Arabidopsis thaliana: one gene and its partners. The protein of the gene in region 1 interacts with the protein of each later gene in a biochemical or structural test. Each region holds a gene or a part of one and is shown on either strand. Other genes may lie near its edges. The genes, in order: TIR1, IAA1, IAA14 and IAA12.

What was found.
Region 2: the proteins of TIR1 (region 1) and IAA1 form a complex in vitro, tested with the Arabidopsis thaliana proteins (one study listed by BioGRID).
Region 3: the proteins of TIR1 (region 1) and IAA14 form a complex in vitro, tested with the Arabidopsis thaliana proteins (one study listed by BioGRID).
Region 4: the proteins of TIR1 (region 1) and IAA12 form a complex in vitro, tested with the Arabidopsis thaliana proteins (one study listed by BioGRID).

The regions. Positions count from the first base shown.
Region 1 is NC_003074.8:23,272,439-23,278,622, reverse strand, and holds TIR1 (F-box/RNI-like superfamily protein), read left to right. Parts: upstream 1-1,992; 5' UTR 1,993-2,441; coding exon 2,442-2,908; intron 2,909-3,641; coding exon 3,642-4,134; intron 4,135-4,319; coding exon 4,320-5,144; 3' UTR 5,145-5,558; downstream 5,559-6,184. Other genes in the region: AT3G62970 (zinc finger (C3HC4-type RING finger) family protein), read right to left, coding at 5,925-6,062, 6,152-6,184. UniProt on the Arabidopsis thaliana protein: Auxin receptor that mediates Aux/IAA proteins proteasomal degradation and auxin-regulated transcription.
Region 2 is NC_003075.7:8,359,315-8,362,650, forward strand, and holds IAA1 (indole-3-acetic acid inducible), read left to right. Parts: upstream 1-1,681; 5' UTR 1,682-1,867; coding exon 1,868-2,025; intron 2,026-2,117; coding exon 2,118-2,466; 3' UTR 2,467-2,719; downstream 2,720-3,336. Other genes in the region: AARE (acylaminoacyl-peptidase-like protein), read left to right, coding at 2,811-2,944, 3,241-3,336. UniProt on the Arabidopsis thaliana protein: Aux/IAA proteins are short-lived transcriptional factors that function as repressors of early auxin response genes at low auxin concentrations.
Region 3 is NC_003075.7:8,347,914-8,351,894, forward strand, and holds IAA14 (indole-3-acetic acid inducible 14), read right to left. Parts: upstream 2,351-3,981; 5' UTR 2,011-2,350; coding exon 1,790-2,010; intron 1,599-1,789; coding exon 1,369-1,598; coding exon of another isoform or gene 1,268-1,368; intron 1,232-1,267; coding exon 1,096-1,231; coding exon of another isoform or gene 1,092-1,095; intron 784-1,091; coding exon 666-783; downstream 1-665. UniProt on the Arabidopsis thaliana protein: Aux/IAA proteins are short-lived transcriptional factors that function as repressors of early auxin response genes at low auxin concentrations.
Region 4 is NC_003070.9:1,238,462-1,242,876, reverse strand, and holds IAA12 (AUX/IAA transcriptional regulator family protein), read right to left. Parts: upstream 2,584-4,415; 5' UTR 2,296-2,583; coding exon 2,093-2,295; intron 1,821-2,092; coding exon 1,534-1,820; coding exon of another isoform or gene 1,502-1,533; exon of another isoform or gene 1,453-1,501; coding exon 1,335-1,452; exon of another isoform or gene 1,262-1,334; coding exon 1,200-1,261; intron 1,117-1,199; coding exon 1,067-1,116; 3' UTR 720-1,066; downstream 1-719. Other genes in the region: AT1G04555 (uncharacterized protein), read right to left, coding at 1-134; AT1G04540 (Calcium-dependent lipid-binding (CaLB domain) family protein), read right to left, coding at 3,816-4,415.

The DNA of each region.
Region 1 (6,184 bases):
TTGGTCAGAATTTGACAAATCATATAACGATATAGAGAAGAGAACAATATGAATAAAAATGGAAAAAAGGATGGCTTCCACTAATGGGGAAGGTCATTATAATCAAGACATAATCCAAATTAGCTTTATAAATCACGTGCCACTTTACTTGTACTTGTACACCACCTCTTCATCAATCGCATTATATATATCACTCATCATCTATCTTATATATAAACAGTAGTATTATGTAAATACTATAGTACTATGTTATTCTTTTATATATGTCCGTCCACACATGCGTACACATATTTCTATCTCACATAAACAGTAGTAGTATAATGCAGTCTGTAATATTCTCGGCTTTTAGGTACACAATTTATAATTCATTCAGAGTTGGATCTAATATCGCTGAAGAGATAATTAAAAAAATAATTAGGGAGATAATTAAGGGATAATAGACAGCAAAGAGCAAGCTAGTTTTGAGTACGAAACCCGAGACTAGGAGAAAGAAATAAGAGAGATTCGCGGGGGAGCCATGCGTGGGATTATTATTCTAATCATTTCCTTAAAAAATTCATAATCAATGACCTCTTATTATATCAGTGTAAGTTAATCCCTTTTTCTGACGACATTAAAACTTATAATTTTAAAAAAACTTAAGCGTATTACGTGCAAGACAACTCAGCTCCACACTTCTCCCATCTGACTATACTCAGCCCTCTCTTTGTTTTTTCCTAATTATCTCTTTCTTCGTTACTACCTCAATTTCTGAGCACTTGCTTGCTACATTTTTTTTTTTTAAAATCTTCGTATTTGTATGTATGTCATTATAATTTTTAGATTTTATTTTTGGTTTAAGAACTAATCAACAGTACATTCAAAAAGAAAACTAGAAAGGTGCGATATTTTAAATAGTAGTTTAAGTGGATAAACGGTCAGGATGGTATGTAATACGAAGATGATATAGAACAGTTTGATAATGTGACAAGTTTTTTTAGTTAGGGCAGGACAGACCTATCAACTCCATGCTCAGACTCTGCAAAGCCCATCATACACTGTTTCGAGAAGAAGGGCATTCTCGTCAATTCAATACCCATTTATTTTCCTCTAAGCCGTTGTACTTGCGACAGAGCCCGAAATAATTGTAGTTTTTATACGTTTATTACACCCAGACGAGGTAAATTAATTAAGAAGTAATTATTAATTTTAAAAGTCACGATTGTGTATGTATGTATGTCCGTACACTGTTAAAAAGGGGTCCCAGATCTGACGGTCGTGATTAAAATGCGACGCTGCACTTTCTTTCTTTCTTTCTTCTCTACTTTATTCAAATTTTTCAGTATCCATTCTTTCTCTCTCTTTTTTTCTTTCTCTACTCATAAAAGTTGTTCACTTTAAATTATTGGATACTTCCCTCACATTTACTCTTTTTTGTGCAATCCTTTCAATTTTAATTTAAATTATTCAGCAATCTTCAAAAACATACAAATAATGTTTTAATCCAATCTCACACGAAAACACTGATTCTTGTTATGTTAATTCATCATTCAACTCTATTTACTTCACTTTAATGCTATGAGAAAGGATACACTTTAGTTAATCAAATTTATCAATACTATATATTACTAGAAAATAGAAAATGAAACTGTGATTAGTCTTGATGGTTTATTTATGAATCCAAGTGGTGGGTAAATAAATGAACATGCAAAACTAATAATAGGAGGAGATAGATGCTCAGATTCCACATCAAAACATGATTGGACGGTTGTGATGTCATCATAAATAACAGTAATAGCTTCTTTTTTTATTGTTTTGTTACCGTCAGATCATTAGTAGTCTAGTATTTTTTTTAACATTCTGTTGTGGTCCCCGCAATTTACGGGGCTTCCCCTCATATCCAGCCGTGCATCGCGTATCATTAGATTCCCTCTTCTCCTACACCTTACCACACCCTATCATTGATCTCCTTCTCGCGCTATTTTGATAGAAGCCGCGATAAGCCGACCCCCCCTCTCCAATATCTCGTCCCGTTTTCTGCGGCTGCCCTTCTCTGCACAGTCGATAAGATAATCTCCCGCTTTCATTCAATCGGACGGCTGGTATTTGAAGCTTATAAGACACGTGTCATCATCAGAATCGACAATCACAATCACCGAAAAGGCTCACATGGATATGTTTGACCACGGTTAACTTTTAACCCAACCATGGTTGGCTTTTTTAACTTGACCTCCTTCTCCTTCCCCCTATCCTTTTCTCTTCTCTTCCCACTCTCTCTCTCTCTCTATCTATCTTCTTCATCTTTGTTTCAGCTTCTCCTTTGAAACTAGATTATCTCCGTTAATGGCGCCTCAGATCTAACCTTGGGAGTTATATATATATACTTGTTCAACTCTTCTTCGAACGCTGTCCAACTTCTTCCTCTGGTTCGATCATCGAGATCTCGAGGTTATTTGGCCGCAATGCAGAAGCGAATAGCCTTGTCGTTTCCAGAAGAGGTACTAGAGCATGTGTTCTCGTTTATTCAGCTGGATAAGGATAGGAACTCAGTCTCTCTGGTGTGCAAGTCATGGTACGAGATCGAGCGGTGGTGCAGGAGGAAAGTCTTCATCGGGAACTGCTACGCCGTGAGTCCAGCGACGGTGATTAGGAGGTTCCCGAAAGTGAGATCCGTGGAGCTTAAAGGAAAACCTCACTTTGCTGACTTTAATTTGGTACCTGACGGATGGGGAGGTTACGTGTATCCATGGATTGAGGCCATGTCTTCGTCTTACACGTGGCTTGAAGAGATAAGGCTGAAGAGGATGGTGGTCACCGACGATTGCTTGGAGCTCATAGCCAAGTCTTTTAAGAATTTTAAGGTTCTTGTGCTTTCTTCCTGCGAAGGCTTCTCCACCGATGGTCTCGCTGCTATCGCTGCCACTTGCAGGTATTCTTTTTCTGAATGTTTTTTGTTTCATCAAGAAGACTCCCTTGTGTCTCTAGGAAGAAGCTTTTGTTTGTATTAAACTTATTGGTGTGTGATTTGTATATTCATTATACTACATAAAGTCTCAATTATAGCAAATTCATGTACTTGTTATTTGATCTGGGCATATAGGTTTTGCTGCGTTGTTCCTGCTGATGTTACTCTGGTCTTTGTGAGCTTTTTTTTGGTTTGGTCAAGATTTTGCGTATCTAAAAGATATATGTTTTAATCACGTTTCTGAAGATTCTTATTATAGCCACTCTCTTTTTCTTTCTGGTGGGTCTTATTTAACGGTGGTGTATCTATTTATTCCTGGATTATTCGCTCTCAGTGAATCTCCTGAGGTGGGAAATCTAATCAATTTGGCTTTGTGTGTGTTACTTTTCTTTTTGTAGGGGACTTTCAATTTTCTTTTTTTACCTTGTTGGGAAACTTAGATCTGTTTTCGGATTCCCCTTCTTTACTCGCTTTAGCTCTGTTTTAGCATCTCTCACATTGCTTCCACGTGATAAATTTAGTAATTTGTTATTGTTCTATGCTTAGATAGTTTCCCAAAGTGATCTTTCTACATTGTATCAAATACAACTTTGGACAAATTAATGACAATTATGCTCATGTATTGTAGGCAATGTTTATGTTCTCGAAGTTGTATAATGTGGGTCACTCGATGCTAATTATGTGATTTCTTATGCAGGAATCTGAAAGAGCTTGACTTACGAGAGAGTGATGTTGACGACGTTAGTGGCCACTGGCTTAGCCATTTCCCAGATACATACACTTCTTTGGTATCACTCAATATATCTTGCTTAGCATCTGAGGTCAGTTTCTCTGCTCTGGAAAGGCTGGTGACTAGGTGTCCCAATCTCAAGTCTCTCAAGCTTAACCGAGCTGTTCCACTTGAAAAATTGGCTACTTTACTTCAAAGAGCACCTCAATTGGAGGAATTGGGCACTGGTGGGTACACTGCAGAAGTGCGACCAGATGTTTACTCTGGTTTATCTGTAGCGCTCTCTGGGTGCAAGGAATTGAGGTGCTTATCTGGATTTTGGGATGCTGTTCCTGCCTATCTTCCAGCAGTTTATTCGGTTTGCAGTCGGCTTACAACTTTGAATCTGAGTTATGCAACAGTCCAGAGCTATGATCTTGTCAAGCTTCTTTGTCAATGCCCTAAACTGCAGCGCCTCTGGGTGAGTCCATTTTAACATACATTAACACATGAATTTGGAATAGGTCATTTTACTGTATGGTATGAGAAAGCTTATGTTCATAGTTTTCTTAAAAAATTTGAATGATATAGAGCAATATATCTGAATTATAAGCATTAAAGCCTTTTTCTTTTTGTAACTGTGCTCTAACTTATTATTGACTACAGGTGCTTGACTACATCGAGGATGCTGGTCTTGAGGTGCTTGCTTCAACCTGCAAGGACCTACGCGAGCTGAGAGTGTTTCCGTCCGAGCCTTTTGTCATGGAACCAAATGTGGCATTGACGGAACAGGGGCTTGTCTCCGTCTCCATGGGCTGTCCAAAACTCGAGTCGGTTCTCTACTTCTGCCGTCAAATGACCAATGCTGCATTGATAACCATTGCTAGGAACCGTCCCAACATGACTCGCTTCCGTTTGTGCATCATTGAGCCAAAAGCCCCAGACTATCTGACTCTAGAGCCACTGGATATTGGATTTGGAGCCATAGTAGAGCACTGCAAGGATCTCCGTCGCCTCTCTCTATCTGGCCTCTTGACCGACAAGGTTTTTGAATACATTGGGACATATGCCAAGAAGATGGAAATGCTCTCAGTGGCATTTGCAGGAGACAGTGACTTAGGCATGCATCATGTTTTGTCCGGGTGCGATAGCTTGAGGAAACTAGAGATAAGGGACTGCCCGTTTGGAGACAAGGCGCTTTTGGCCAATGCTTCAAAGCTGGAGACAATGCGATCCCTTTGGATGTCTTCTTGTTCCGTGAGTTTTGGAGCCTGCAAGTTACTAGGACAGAAGATGCCAAAGCTGAATGTGGAAGTCATCGATGAACGGGGTGCACCGGACTCGAGACCAGAGAGCTGCCCTGTTGAGAGAGTCTTCATATACCGAACAGTGGCTGGTCCTCGATTTGACATGCCTGGCTTCGTCTGGAACATGGACCAAGACTCAACAATGAGGTTTTCCAGGCAAATCATTACTACTAACGGATTATAAGACAAAGAAACGAGGTACATTTTTCATTAATCCTTGTTCATCATCCCATATAATCGTGTTCCGGTTTAGGAACATGAGAGAGCTCGGTCGCCAATAATTTGAATCTCGGCTGCTTCATATAACCATCAAGCTCATGAGCAATGAATAAGTGGAGAGAGAGAAAGAGAGATCTAAGAGAGCTTTGTTTTATTTATGTAAGAATTATTGATTGTTGTATGTTTATTTGGCTACTTACACTGAGAGATCCTGGTGGGGTATTTTTCTTAAGAGGATAAGAGATTTTTTTAAAAGACAATGTCAAAAATGTAACTGTTCTACTTGTTTTGTTTGGACTCTTTTATCCTTTTAAATGTTTTCTATCTCTCTCTCTCTTTGTCTTTGCCATTTCCTTTGTCCGCTTAATGAACTGTTTGCAGCCTTTTCGGTTTTGGAACAGCACCTAGTTTCGTCTCAGGTCCCTACACTCTCTTTATCACCATAATTAGAAACAAGAGAATCTTGCTCTGTGTAAAGGTCTTGGAATAGCATCATCGTCAAACGTGTGATAGGACACAATGTAATTGAACTGTTGTTTTTCATATGAAAAACAAGCTTTTTCAAATTTTCAGTTTACATGATGACTAAACACAGTAATACCATTTATATAACAGTACGATATTTTCCGTTTCAAGTGTTTTTAGGCCAAGAACAAAAATAAATAAGCAGAACACAGCCCTATCGCTCTATGGTTGGACCAATGACGGGAAAATTCAATGAAGAAGAGTTGGCTTCAGAAAATGATCACTCTGTTTCACTCACTGGATCTTGTGGCGTTGAGATTCTCCGAGTGTTGTATGAACCGCAATCACTGCACTTGTGTCCCAAAATGTGGAACATAGCTTTACTCCCCTTGTTGCAGTCATTGCAGAGAATTGAAACCTGCAGACATTTTCTTGGCGGATGTAAAACCATGAGCACAAGGAAAACAAACCAAGAGGTGGCACAACGTTGGATTTTTAGACATTTACCTCAAACTTGTACTCAACAGGCATCTCTGTTGC
Region 2 (3,336 bases), on another chromosome or scaffold:
TTATACTATTATATAGCATGTAAACTCTACAATTATGTTATCATCTCCCACACAATGAGAGGGATTTCCAAAACAGATTTAACAAATGTTACTTCTTATAAGCATACGTCTTGTTTTATATTGAACACGCAAGCCTCTAGCGACTAGCATCTCTGTATTTCATGATCAAGTTTATACATATACTTTTTTATTTGTTATACTCTTTATGTTTTTTTTAATAAAAAAAATTGTTTTGGATGAATATGAAAAGAATAAGAAACTAGAAATAACTTTTTGATTAATAATAGTTCAATAATATGAGTACTAATTATTAATTTAAAACACAAATGTTGTATGGAAAAACAAAAACAACAACTAAAATGACAAAAAATTGTTCAACCATCTTATAAACTTTAAACGTAGGGAGCATTACTTTATACTTGTTGTAAAAACGATAATGCTTATTGGTAAAATAACCCATATACATTTTGATTTGTCAATATGTTCATATATGATCTAGTTTTTGTTCTCGTTGTCGCTAGATAGACAATAAAATTTCTTAGTGGACAGTGATTGTGGAATGAATATACGCCCAACACAAATATAAACATCAAATTAAGGTGCATGCGGTATGGGAATTGCAAGTTAAATGAACATAGTTATGCGTAATTTCGAGAAGGGATTAATTGTATTACCTTGCTCGAAATACCACATGGGCCGTGTCCCCAAAAGCCCATTTAAAATGGTTTTTTTTTTTTTTTAAATCATCTCTTTAGATATTTTTTTCAACTCTTTTTCAACAAAATATATAGTTTCATATAGATATTTGTATTTATAATAAATGTTAAAATGAAATTTTACACAATAATTAAAATAAAATAAATAGAAAAAATGTTATTTGAGACAGCATATCACATGGCCTTACCATACTTCCTGCATCCATTATTCCATTAAGAACACTCTTCACCCTCATCCACATGCATCTCCCTCCCCAATTTATTTACTATTGATCATAATTGTACAAACCTATACTTACAATTTATATATGTGTCTACGAGAAAATAAATAATATTTTACAGTGTTTTGTCTATTATTTTGTTCTATAGTTTCTTGCAAACAAAACATTACTTTTCACGCAAAAACTGTCGAAATATTTATAAAAGGAAATTGTTAATTCTTCGATACAAATTGACCATTAATATTTGATCATCTATTCTAGACATCTACTCTACCATATACCAAACCTTTACACAAAAATGAAATATTTTCATGAAAACTACCCCACAACTGGGGTGATCGAAAAAGCTTGATCTATATGATCAACATGTCCAACACTAGTTTCATTTTTTCTACTATGATATCCGATGATCCAATCTGAACTATACAAAATGTATCTAGATATTTTCTTGAATCAATCCGAATAACGAATAGTTGCAAAACATAAACCTAGCGTGATCGTGTGGTAGAAGGACGAAGGTCGAGAAGTTCTCTTACTCTTATGATTTTCTCTTTACTCATTTGACCGTAAGAGAAAGAAACGGCTAGGATCTCGCGTACGCAACTGGCGGAGACAAATCAGGACCGTTGAAAATAAGAAAGAAGCCGCGTCCAAAATCTTTGTGTCCCACCTTTGTCCCCTTGCCTCTAACTTGCCTCCTCATGCTCCCCGACAACGTCATAATTCATATCTCTCTCTCTCTCTCGTTAACCCTAATTTCAAAGCATCTTTCCTTATATAAATCTCTCTCTCTCCCTCACCATTACACAACACACACAAGCATTTTCAAGGATATCAAATCACAATCCCAAGAAGAGCAATAACAAGAGAAGAAGAAGTAGTTCAAGAATTAAGGAAGAGAGCTTCTCCGTTAAAGTATAGTGAGAGAATATGGAAGTCACCAATGGGCTTAACCTTAAGGACACAGAGCTTCGTTTGGGATTACCCGGAGCACAAGAAGAACAACAACTAGAACTTTCTTGCGTCAGAAGCAACAACAAGCGCAAGAACAACGACTCAACAGAAGAATCTGCTCCTCCTCCTGCAAAGTAAGTTGAGATCTGAAAGTTATAGTTTTAATATCCAAACTTCTTGATATCAATCGGTGTACTAATAATGAATCTTGATTTGTAAACTTCAGAACACAAATCGTTGGATGGCCTCCAGTGAGATCTAACCGTAAGAACAACAACAACAAAAACGTGAGTTATGTGAAAGTGAGTATGGACGGAGCTCCATATCTCCGTAAGATAGATCTCAAGATGTACAAAAACTATCCAGAGCTTCTCAAAGCACTAGAGAACATGTTCAAGTTCACAGTAGGTGAATATTCCGAGAGAGAAGGCTACAAAGGATCTGGATTTGTACCTACTTATGAAGACAAAGATGGAGATTGGATGTTGGTCGGTGATGTTCCATGGGACATGTTCTCTTCATCTTGTCAAAAACTCAGAATCATGAAAGGATCCGAAGCTCCTACTGCCTTATGATCCATTGTCTCAAAACACCTTTTGGTCGAGGCAAAAACAAATTCTACTTTGTTTAGATAAAAAAAAGTTTGGTGTAAAGAAAGAAAAAGCAATAGGGTTACAAATACGTTATATAGATGTAAACTAGCTTTGGTTAATTCTGTAAAAGATGAGTTTTGATTATACGAAGTTTATATGTATGCTCAAGATATTTGATACTAACATAACCAATAAAGTTTAGTATTTGATACTAACATAAGTTTGGGACATAGTGAAAGATATAAAATTTTGGATTAAGAAATGGGCAATGTAATGGATATCACTATCGAAAGTTTTCAACTTTTTTTTGTTTTGTTTAATATTAGATGGCGAGAATCTTTAGTCACTACCCAATAACTTGCTCCACCAATTTGGGATTTGACTTGAGCTCTTCTCATCGTCATCTTCGTCGCCTTCTTTTCCGATCTACTTTCATCACTCCTTCACTCACTCAGTCTCCGTAAGCTCTTCTTCTTCTTCTCTCAGTCTCTGTTTTTCAATCCGAAAATTCATTACTTTGATGGTGTTACCACGAATTGAGAATCATTGATGGTATTGCTTTGATGGGTATCGTTTATATGACAGTTTTTAATCCGAAAGTTTATTACTTTGATTGGTTTTTTGTTTGTTCTGTTTTAACGAATTTGAAGCCAATCATATCTACTAAGAACTTGATTGGTTTAGAGTTATGGATGATGAATCTGATTAATGGAATTGTTTTGCAATCATTAGTGATTTATGAGATACTTGTTTCAGTTACAAGAATTGGATTCGAAGATTTGTAGCTATGGATTCTTCTGGAACTGATTCGGCTAAAGAATTGCATGTTGGTTTGGACCCAACTACAGAGGA
Region 3 (3,981 bases), on another chromosome or scaffold:
TTAATAACGTATTCCCACGTAACTAGGAAAGAAAAAAGAAACTTAAAACCATGAATATTTGTTTTGTAGTTTTAAAATTGGTTTTGTAATGAAGATTTTAGTTCGTTTCAAAATCTTTTTGGAAACCATTTTAGTCAAAAAATATACCAACAGTTTTCTTAGTTTTCTTAAGAAATTGTTATGTGAAATGTTTTTAGATACATCAAAAATAGTTACAAATTTCAAATATAATCTGTAAAGCCAATAAATGAGAAAATAAAGAGGAAAAGAATAATAAAGTAGGAAAAGTGGAGATAAATTATTTAACGTAAATTTACCTATCATAAATTATATATAGTATTAGCATTTTAAATTTTAAATAGCAAAAATACGAACTCTATAGATTTACTATCACAATTACATATTAAAAAATGATTTCTACTAATTAAGAGATGAAAACAAAAACACAGACTAATTTCAAAAAAAAAAAAAAAGACATATTTAAAGTTATTTTTTTCGTAAACAATTATATTTTCCTATATACTTCCAATATTTTAAATTAAAAACACATGATCATAACAATACCAAAAAAAAAAAATCAATGCATATTGTCCTCTTTTTTTTTTGTTCATGATCTGTTCTTGAACTTCTCCATTGCTCTTGGAGCTGAAAAAAAAACACGAGCATTATTGGAAAAACAGAAAAGAGCCACTTATAGAAACGAACAGAAAAGAAAACTTACCAAGTCCAATTGCTTCGGATCCTTTCATTATGCGCAAACGTTTGCATGACTCGACAAACATCCTGAAATCGGGATTTGGGTTGGTGACTAAATTTAGAAATCTATTGAAAGTGAAAGAATATGTGCCAGCTACAAATGAGGTAACATATTGATGAGTTAGTATTTATATATAAACATCTTCTCTGTCTCTGAGTTCTGTCCCATGCCAACCAAAAGATGGCTGTGCGTGTTTATAACACATGGATATTGATTATCATTTTGTGTATTTTTTTGATAAGTAATATCAATAATAATGCTTTAGAGAATATTGTTTTTTTTGTTTAGAGAATAATTTTGGTCATAATAATGAAAGCAAGAAGAATGAGGAAACTCACGGCCAGGGGACATCACCAACGAGCATCCAGTCACCATCTTTGTCCTCGTAGCTTGGAACATACTCAGAACTGTTCAACAGATCCATCACTTTACTCTCGTTCATGAAATCTATCATCCCTTGTGCTCCATAACTCCCTTAATTAATCAAAATCCCAAAACTTATCATATTAATTAGTCGTATATGGAAAAAACTGTATCGTTAAAAAGAAAAAATTGTAAGTAAACACAAAAATAATAATGATAATTCGACTTATATGTCTGAAAATGCATACCCATGGTAAAGGAGCTGAACATTTTGGCCAAGGCATCAGAGAGATCCTTGTAGCTGGTGTACATCTTGAGGTCAACCTTCCGAAGATAAGGAGCTCCATCCATGGAAACCTTCACAAAGGCGACGGTTCCTCCACCACTACTCATTGCCTCCTCTGCTTCGCCGCTCTTCTGATTAGCCATAACATTTTTCCGGTAGTTCCTCACCGGTGGCCAACCCACCACTTGTGCTCTGCATAGAATATAACAACACACACACACATTCAATAACGTTATTACTTATGCATCCTTACATCTTTCATATATATGTATTTTAAGAACTTTTATATCAACTATTAGTCTTTTTATCTCAAAAAAAAAAAAAAAAAGTCTTCCCTTTTAAGGAAGGTCTTCTTCTTAAGGAATTGTGTAAATAGAACTTACTTAGCAGGAGGCTTAGAAGGGTCTTTAAGGAAGGTCTTCTCCTTGGGAGCTCCATTAGTGTTGAGATCCACATGTCCTTGTTTGTTAGATTGAAGATTAAGTTTGAGATCAACGGTCTCGGAGAAGCCTCTCTTGTTCCCAACACCCGACTTGGCCGGACTTTCAACGGTTTCAGTGCCTCCGGGGAGGCCAAGACAAAGCTCCGTCTCCTTAAGGTTCATATCTCTTCTTGCTGTCTATATATGTCTTAAATCAGAATATGTTTTCTCTCTCTCTCGATAACTCTTGTTGGGGGTGAAGTTTGATAAGAGGGGAACAAGAATGAGGTAAGGAGATAGAGTCGATAATATAAGGGACGAAGAAAGAGACTATAGTACTATACTATAGTGGTAGAAAAAAAACGGTTTAAACCCGTGATTAGTCGTCTGACTTTTCTAATTCTTTAACTATTAAAATACAAAGGTCTATTGTGTATCTGCTGTAGTGCATGGAATCCCTACATTTTCTTGCAATGTGGGTTCTCAACACGTGGCCTTCTGCTAAACGTTGGTAGGTTGTTTTAGTAAATCTCACTCTTTCATGTCAATAACCTGAAAAGTATAGGTGATGAGTGATGACCGTTGATTGTTGAATGATATTGTTACATCTCTTAGGTTTTGAAAATACGAACATACGTTTGCCCAAAATATGTTAAGTAAATAAAAATGAAAATATATTAAGATTCCGAGTAAATAAAAATGATATTATAAAAACATGAGTACCTCTTTCAACATGTCTAAGTAATGTCTTTATTGATCACTTCTATGATTAATGTACTTTTTTAATTGCCTACCAATTTGTTAGACGTTGCCTCCATTGGTCAACTCTTCACGTATCACATCACATGTATACAGAAATTGGGCGGTAAAAATTCCGTGAATCGTATTTGGTCAACATTATTATATGATTTAATCATATAATTATATTTCTTAAAACTTTCGAAGTCAGCATCGGTGAAAATAGTTATGACCAACTAAGTTTGATCCTAATTAAGACGTACAACAAATAATCAATGATAACAATCTTAGTATATATTTTACTTCAATTTGGACCATCTTCTCTCAACATTGTCCTGAAATTCCGGGAAATGATGGGGCAATTTTAGGAAAATGGGCTTGTTCAGTTGTCCATTAAATCATTATTAAAGAGCATAATCAAATTAAAATAAGCTTGTCTTCCGAACCTTCCAATCATGTGGTTCAAGTATAACCACACATGAACGTATAATTTGTTCGACGGAAAGTGCGGCTTTGTGACTATATTTATTAGCATGCTCAATTACATTTTCTTTGTTTAGACGTATTATAATCAAATTTCTTATCATTGATTTTAGTTAATCATTGGATATCAAAAATAATAAGAATATAATGAGCCGTTCAAAACTTAAATAAGCTAAAAGTGCACATGGATTTTACTTGCGATCTCTATATAAACTATACCACCCATTGTTTTGTGGTTATGGGATAATATCCTTTGGAAATCTTTGGAAATAAAATGACTATTATTTTAGATACAATAAAATATTCCAATGATACATAATCCTTTTAATTAATAACACCATAATGAATACTTTACTTAAAAAGTTAAAATATCCAGCAAAAGTTGATATTCAAATCTGATGAAAATATTAAAAGTTACAATCTAACTGAGTATTAGTAAATCAAGATCATGTAAATTTAATATTATCGACATATACAGTCATTTATATTTATTTTTATTAGTATTCAAATAATTATTATAAAACTATTTGGTTGATAATATATCGTTAAATTTGATCATATTACAAATAAACATTTCTTTTATGTCAATAACATTACTTACTGAGTGTTAATAGCTCAATTGTTAAAGACTATAAGACAAAACCTAGAAATCACCAGTTGTAATGACATTTGGAAAGAAACCATATAAAATGCTCTAGTTTGAGAGGACGTATGTTCCTAGGCCTAAACTTTTTAGTAATAAAAATAAAATAAAAAGCAACATCACTTATGCGGAAGCCTATCATATATAAACAACATTAATTAGCACAAACCATTAGTAAAACAGATGCACTACATTCATGATGGACTATTTTAGCATTAGCTTCCGAGTTCCGAGAGCCCAACGAATAATTCTACTTGCACTACATTGGAGATTTCTGGTAAACTTGTTTC
Region 4 (4,415 bases), on another chromosome or scaffold:
GAAGAAGAAGAAGATGGAGAAGAGGAGGAAGTGAAAAAGCCCTGAAGGAGGAAGAGGAAGATGAGAACGTTGATGACAGTGAGAGCAATTGTTGCGTTCTTGAACGAAAACCTCATGCGCCATTGATGATCCATTATCTTATTCCAAAGCAAACCCCAAAAATCTAAACCGTGGTCTTTAGAATTTCACCAAACTTGAATTTTATCAAGGATCATGAATCTTCCTTCTTCCTTTCTCTACAAGACTTTAATTTACTGGTCTTTTGACTTTACTACTTATCCTTTAATCTTTGGTTGGACTTGCTAAGCACTGTATCTCCTTTTCTAGGTAACAAGTTAAATATTACCTAAACAATCCATAACCTTATTATATTTTGATTTGGTGACGTGAATCCAAACATTTGTTATTTTCTTTGTCTTCAACTATCAGATTAAGAATAAAATCTTTACTTTTCAAAGTTTATCAATTTAAAGTAGTTTGCAGTTTTAAAAGATAACTCTTAACGTATTTTGTGTGAATTTAAGAACAATTAAGGACAAAACTTTTGATGGTCAAAACTTTTCTTGTCATCAATCATCAATATATGATTTTGATGGTCTTAGAAACATCTTCTCTTCGACCAAAAAAAATAAACATCTTCTCTGTTTTTTTTAATGACACACTCTTCTCTGTTTCTGCAAAACGTTTTGACTCGAGTCAATGGAAACTTCAAAAAGACAGAAAACAACAAACCATATTAAGGAACAAATATTCATTCTTTGGAATCATAAACATAACTCTTATCACATTAATTAGATAACTTCAACTATTTACAATCTGAGAGAACAAATAAACAAGAGCTTTCTCTCACAGAACATAGATAATTGGTACACAGCCAAAGAAGAAACAAACTGGAAAACTACGAATTGAATGACCTAAGCAAAACCATATCCGAAAACCGGATTCAAATCATATCTAAGCTTCTGCATGCTTTTATCCATATTCTCCAAAATACTTTCTTCAAAAAGTATCGAGTAAATTGCAAACCTCAAACAATACATAAACAATGCCAGCTTTGGAAGGGAAGCTAAACAGGGTTGTTTCTTTGTCTATCCTTCTGCTCTTGACGTCTTGGAGCTGCATTAAAAATGATTCAATCAGTCTTTTTCATTAGTCAAGACGAGAAATCAAGAAACCAGAAGATGATCTTTAAAACTTACCTAGTCCACTAGCTTCTGAGGTTCCCATGATCCGAAGCCTTTTCACCGAGTTGATAAACATTCTAAACAAAAAGAGAGAAAAGAGACTAATCAGGTTTTGAACTACTGCAATACTGCTTAATATCCGAATCTTACCTCCATGGAACATCTCCAACAAGCATCCAATCCCCTTCCTTATCTTCATAAGTGAGTACAAAGTCTGATGATCCATCTAAAAGCCTTAAAGGTTTAACCTTTTCTCGACAAGTAGTACCTGATAGATAAAACAGAAACTATCAGTAGATTCATAGAAAACATCGGGTTTATAGTGTACGCATTTGAAAACAGTACAGACCTGTCATTCCAAAGAACATTTCCTCAAGCGTCTGAGCCAAGTTTTCGTAAGACGAATGAGCTCTCATATCCACTTTTCTGCCTATACCAACTCCATCCATATTCACCTTAACAAACCCTAAGCCCTGAACTTTCGGATTCACCTTCATTGACACATCTTTGAGCTCATCATTCTTCACAACTTTCTTCTCCCCGTCTCCTTCTTCCGCTCTTGCTGCCTTCATAGCTTGGTTATTAACCAAACTGTTCATCCTGTGTAACCCAATTGGTGGCCATCCTACCACTTGACTGCCACAACAAACCAAGAAATTTCCACTCAATGGCTCTCGAAATTCAGATGTAATCATCTAAACAGACATTAAAATGAACAAATCTTAGCATTTGCATGACTCCATAGAGAAATCTATAGCACAGGACAAGCACAAGCTCATCAATGGAGATAGATACCTAACTCTTATTCAGGGTAAACTAAAACAAAAGCACCTACACAATTCTGTCCTGAGATGGCATAACACTCACATCACAAGATTTGAGCTTTCTTAATAAGAAAAAGGACGAACCTTGAACGAGGAGGAGAAGCTCCTTGGTGAGAGGAAGATTCAGCAGAGCGTTTAGACCCAACGGAAGGAAAATCCTTAGCAGTAAGAATCCTCCCACGCTCTTTCCACGCGCCACCACCGAGGCTGAGCCCTAATCCCAATTCCAGCTCACTCTCCGCCGGAAGATTACTCTTCCCCACCTCCAATTCTGACACACCACGCATGTCAATAACAAAACCCTAGACTCCAATGATACCAGCAGAGAAAGTGTCTTTCAAATAACCCACACAAAAAAGAAGCTTGATGACACAGAGAGAATGGAGACAACAAGAAGAGAAAGAGTGTATTTAGGGTTTGAGAGAGACGAGAGAAAGAGATGATGAAAACAGAGTAAAAGAGAGAGAGAGAGAGGAGGATTTTGGTGGTGGAGAGAGTGATGAGAATTGGGACCCATATGTCTTGTAATGGCCATACCAATTTTTTCTAACCAAAAGTCTTCTCCTTTGTTATAAAATATTGTTTGTTTTCTCTCAAAACTTGTCTTCCGACATAATCAAACCTGTTGTGCTCTCGTTGGGATATCGTTGTTGTGTTTGGTTCAAGCAGCAAGAGAAAATAGAGAGTCCCAAGAAACTTGTTTACAGTTGTATGTGTGTGTGCAAGGTTTTGCTTTGTGTTGCTGTTGCATCATAATATAGTTCTTTTTTGTTTTCTTTTCCGCTTGTGGTTTTTTTCTTTTCTTAACCAAAAATTGTATTGCTTTAGCCTTTAGGATGAAGAGTCTCTGTTTTAAATACCATTTTTCTTTAATTTGGGCTAATCAAAAAATCTAAATTAACTTTTATATTTCATATACTATGTATTGGTTACATTGCTCCTAGATTTTAGACCTAATTTTAGTCTCTCTTTAACAGGTTGGCCATCATTCTTTATACTAGCAAACTCGTTTATGGTCATATGCCATTTGCATATTGACCATTTGATTATCTTTCTTTTCTAATAACTAAGATAATATATATTTTCAACTTTTTCCTTAGACCATGATTGTTGTCGAACAAGATTATAAAAGAAAGTGAGGGAAAAAAAATGGTGGGAAAAGATGCATTATTATAAAATCGTGGTGATGAGATATTCATCATTATGTTTGATGATCCTTTGAAAACTTTTGCAGGCGCAATTGGTTTGTGGAAATTACACTTTTGATCAAAATCATTATCAAGGAGTACATAGATTTCATGCTCTAATTGATGGATTTGATAGAAAATAAACTAAATAACCGGTTATATCATGTATGAATCAAATAAGTATACATAATACATGAAAGTATAGTTAGAAATGCAGAATTTGTATATTTATTTTAGTTTTTTTTAGATTAATGTTTATATCATTTTGTTTCTTTTTAATTTTAGTCACCATTGTCTACAATACCAACATTTGTTCACTCACTCTTAGATTTCATTTTTATATTTTTTTTATTCCACTCACTCTCTTACATTCATTCACAGTTTTCTAATTTTGTTGTGTGAGCTCACTTTCTATTAAACACTATATTATAAGAAGAACATTTTTTAATTTTTTAAAAATAAGGAAGAAGAAGAGGAATACACAAAAATAAATGATTTATTAACACAACATTAATAAATTAATTTTTGTTTACTATTTGATTAATTCATCAGCTCAGATCCTTAAAAAATATAGTTTTCCAAAAAAAATAAAAGTTAATATAAGACCAATAAAATAAAGATCACACAAAGCTCAGATCGTCAGCGGAATATGTGCGTTGCACACGTCCGGCTCCACCTTTCTTAGTAGATCCTTCTGAGACCATCGGCCCACCACCACCACCGCATACGAAACTGCATTCCACACCACAAATCTTACTAAAACACGAGAAAAGTCCATTACCTCCATCTGTGTGACGGCGGTTATGCTTTTTCGTCGTCGGAGTTTTCCGTCTTGAACTCATTCCTCCCCCGGCAGTTGCAGCTGGAACGCTCGCGCCATCGTAATCAGTGCTACTTATATGGCTTGATCCTATGTCGTACAACGGTGGAAGCTCTGTTCGCCATCTCTCGAGTTTTGATCGCAATCCTTCGATGCTAGATTCATCGATGCTCCATTCGCTGAGTATTGAACTTTCCGTTTCGTGCGATCTATCTTTCGCCAATTTGTCAGCCACTTCAGATGGCGATGGTCCTAACTCCGATTCAGTTAAGATTCGTCTTCCAGCTAAATTCCTCACTGGTGTACCAAAATCGTGATGAGTTCTCATCGGTGTAGCCATGTAGTTTGATCGGATCGGGGTTGATCCGACGATGTTTGATCTCATTGGAGTCGAACCAAC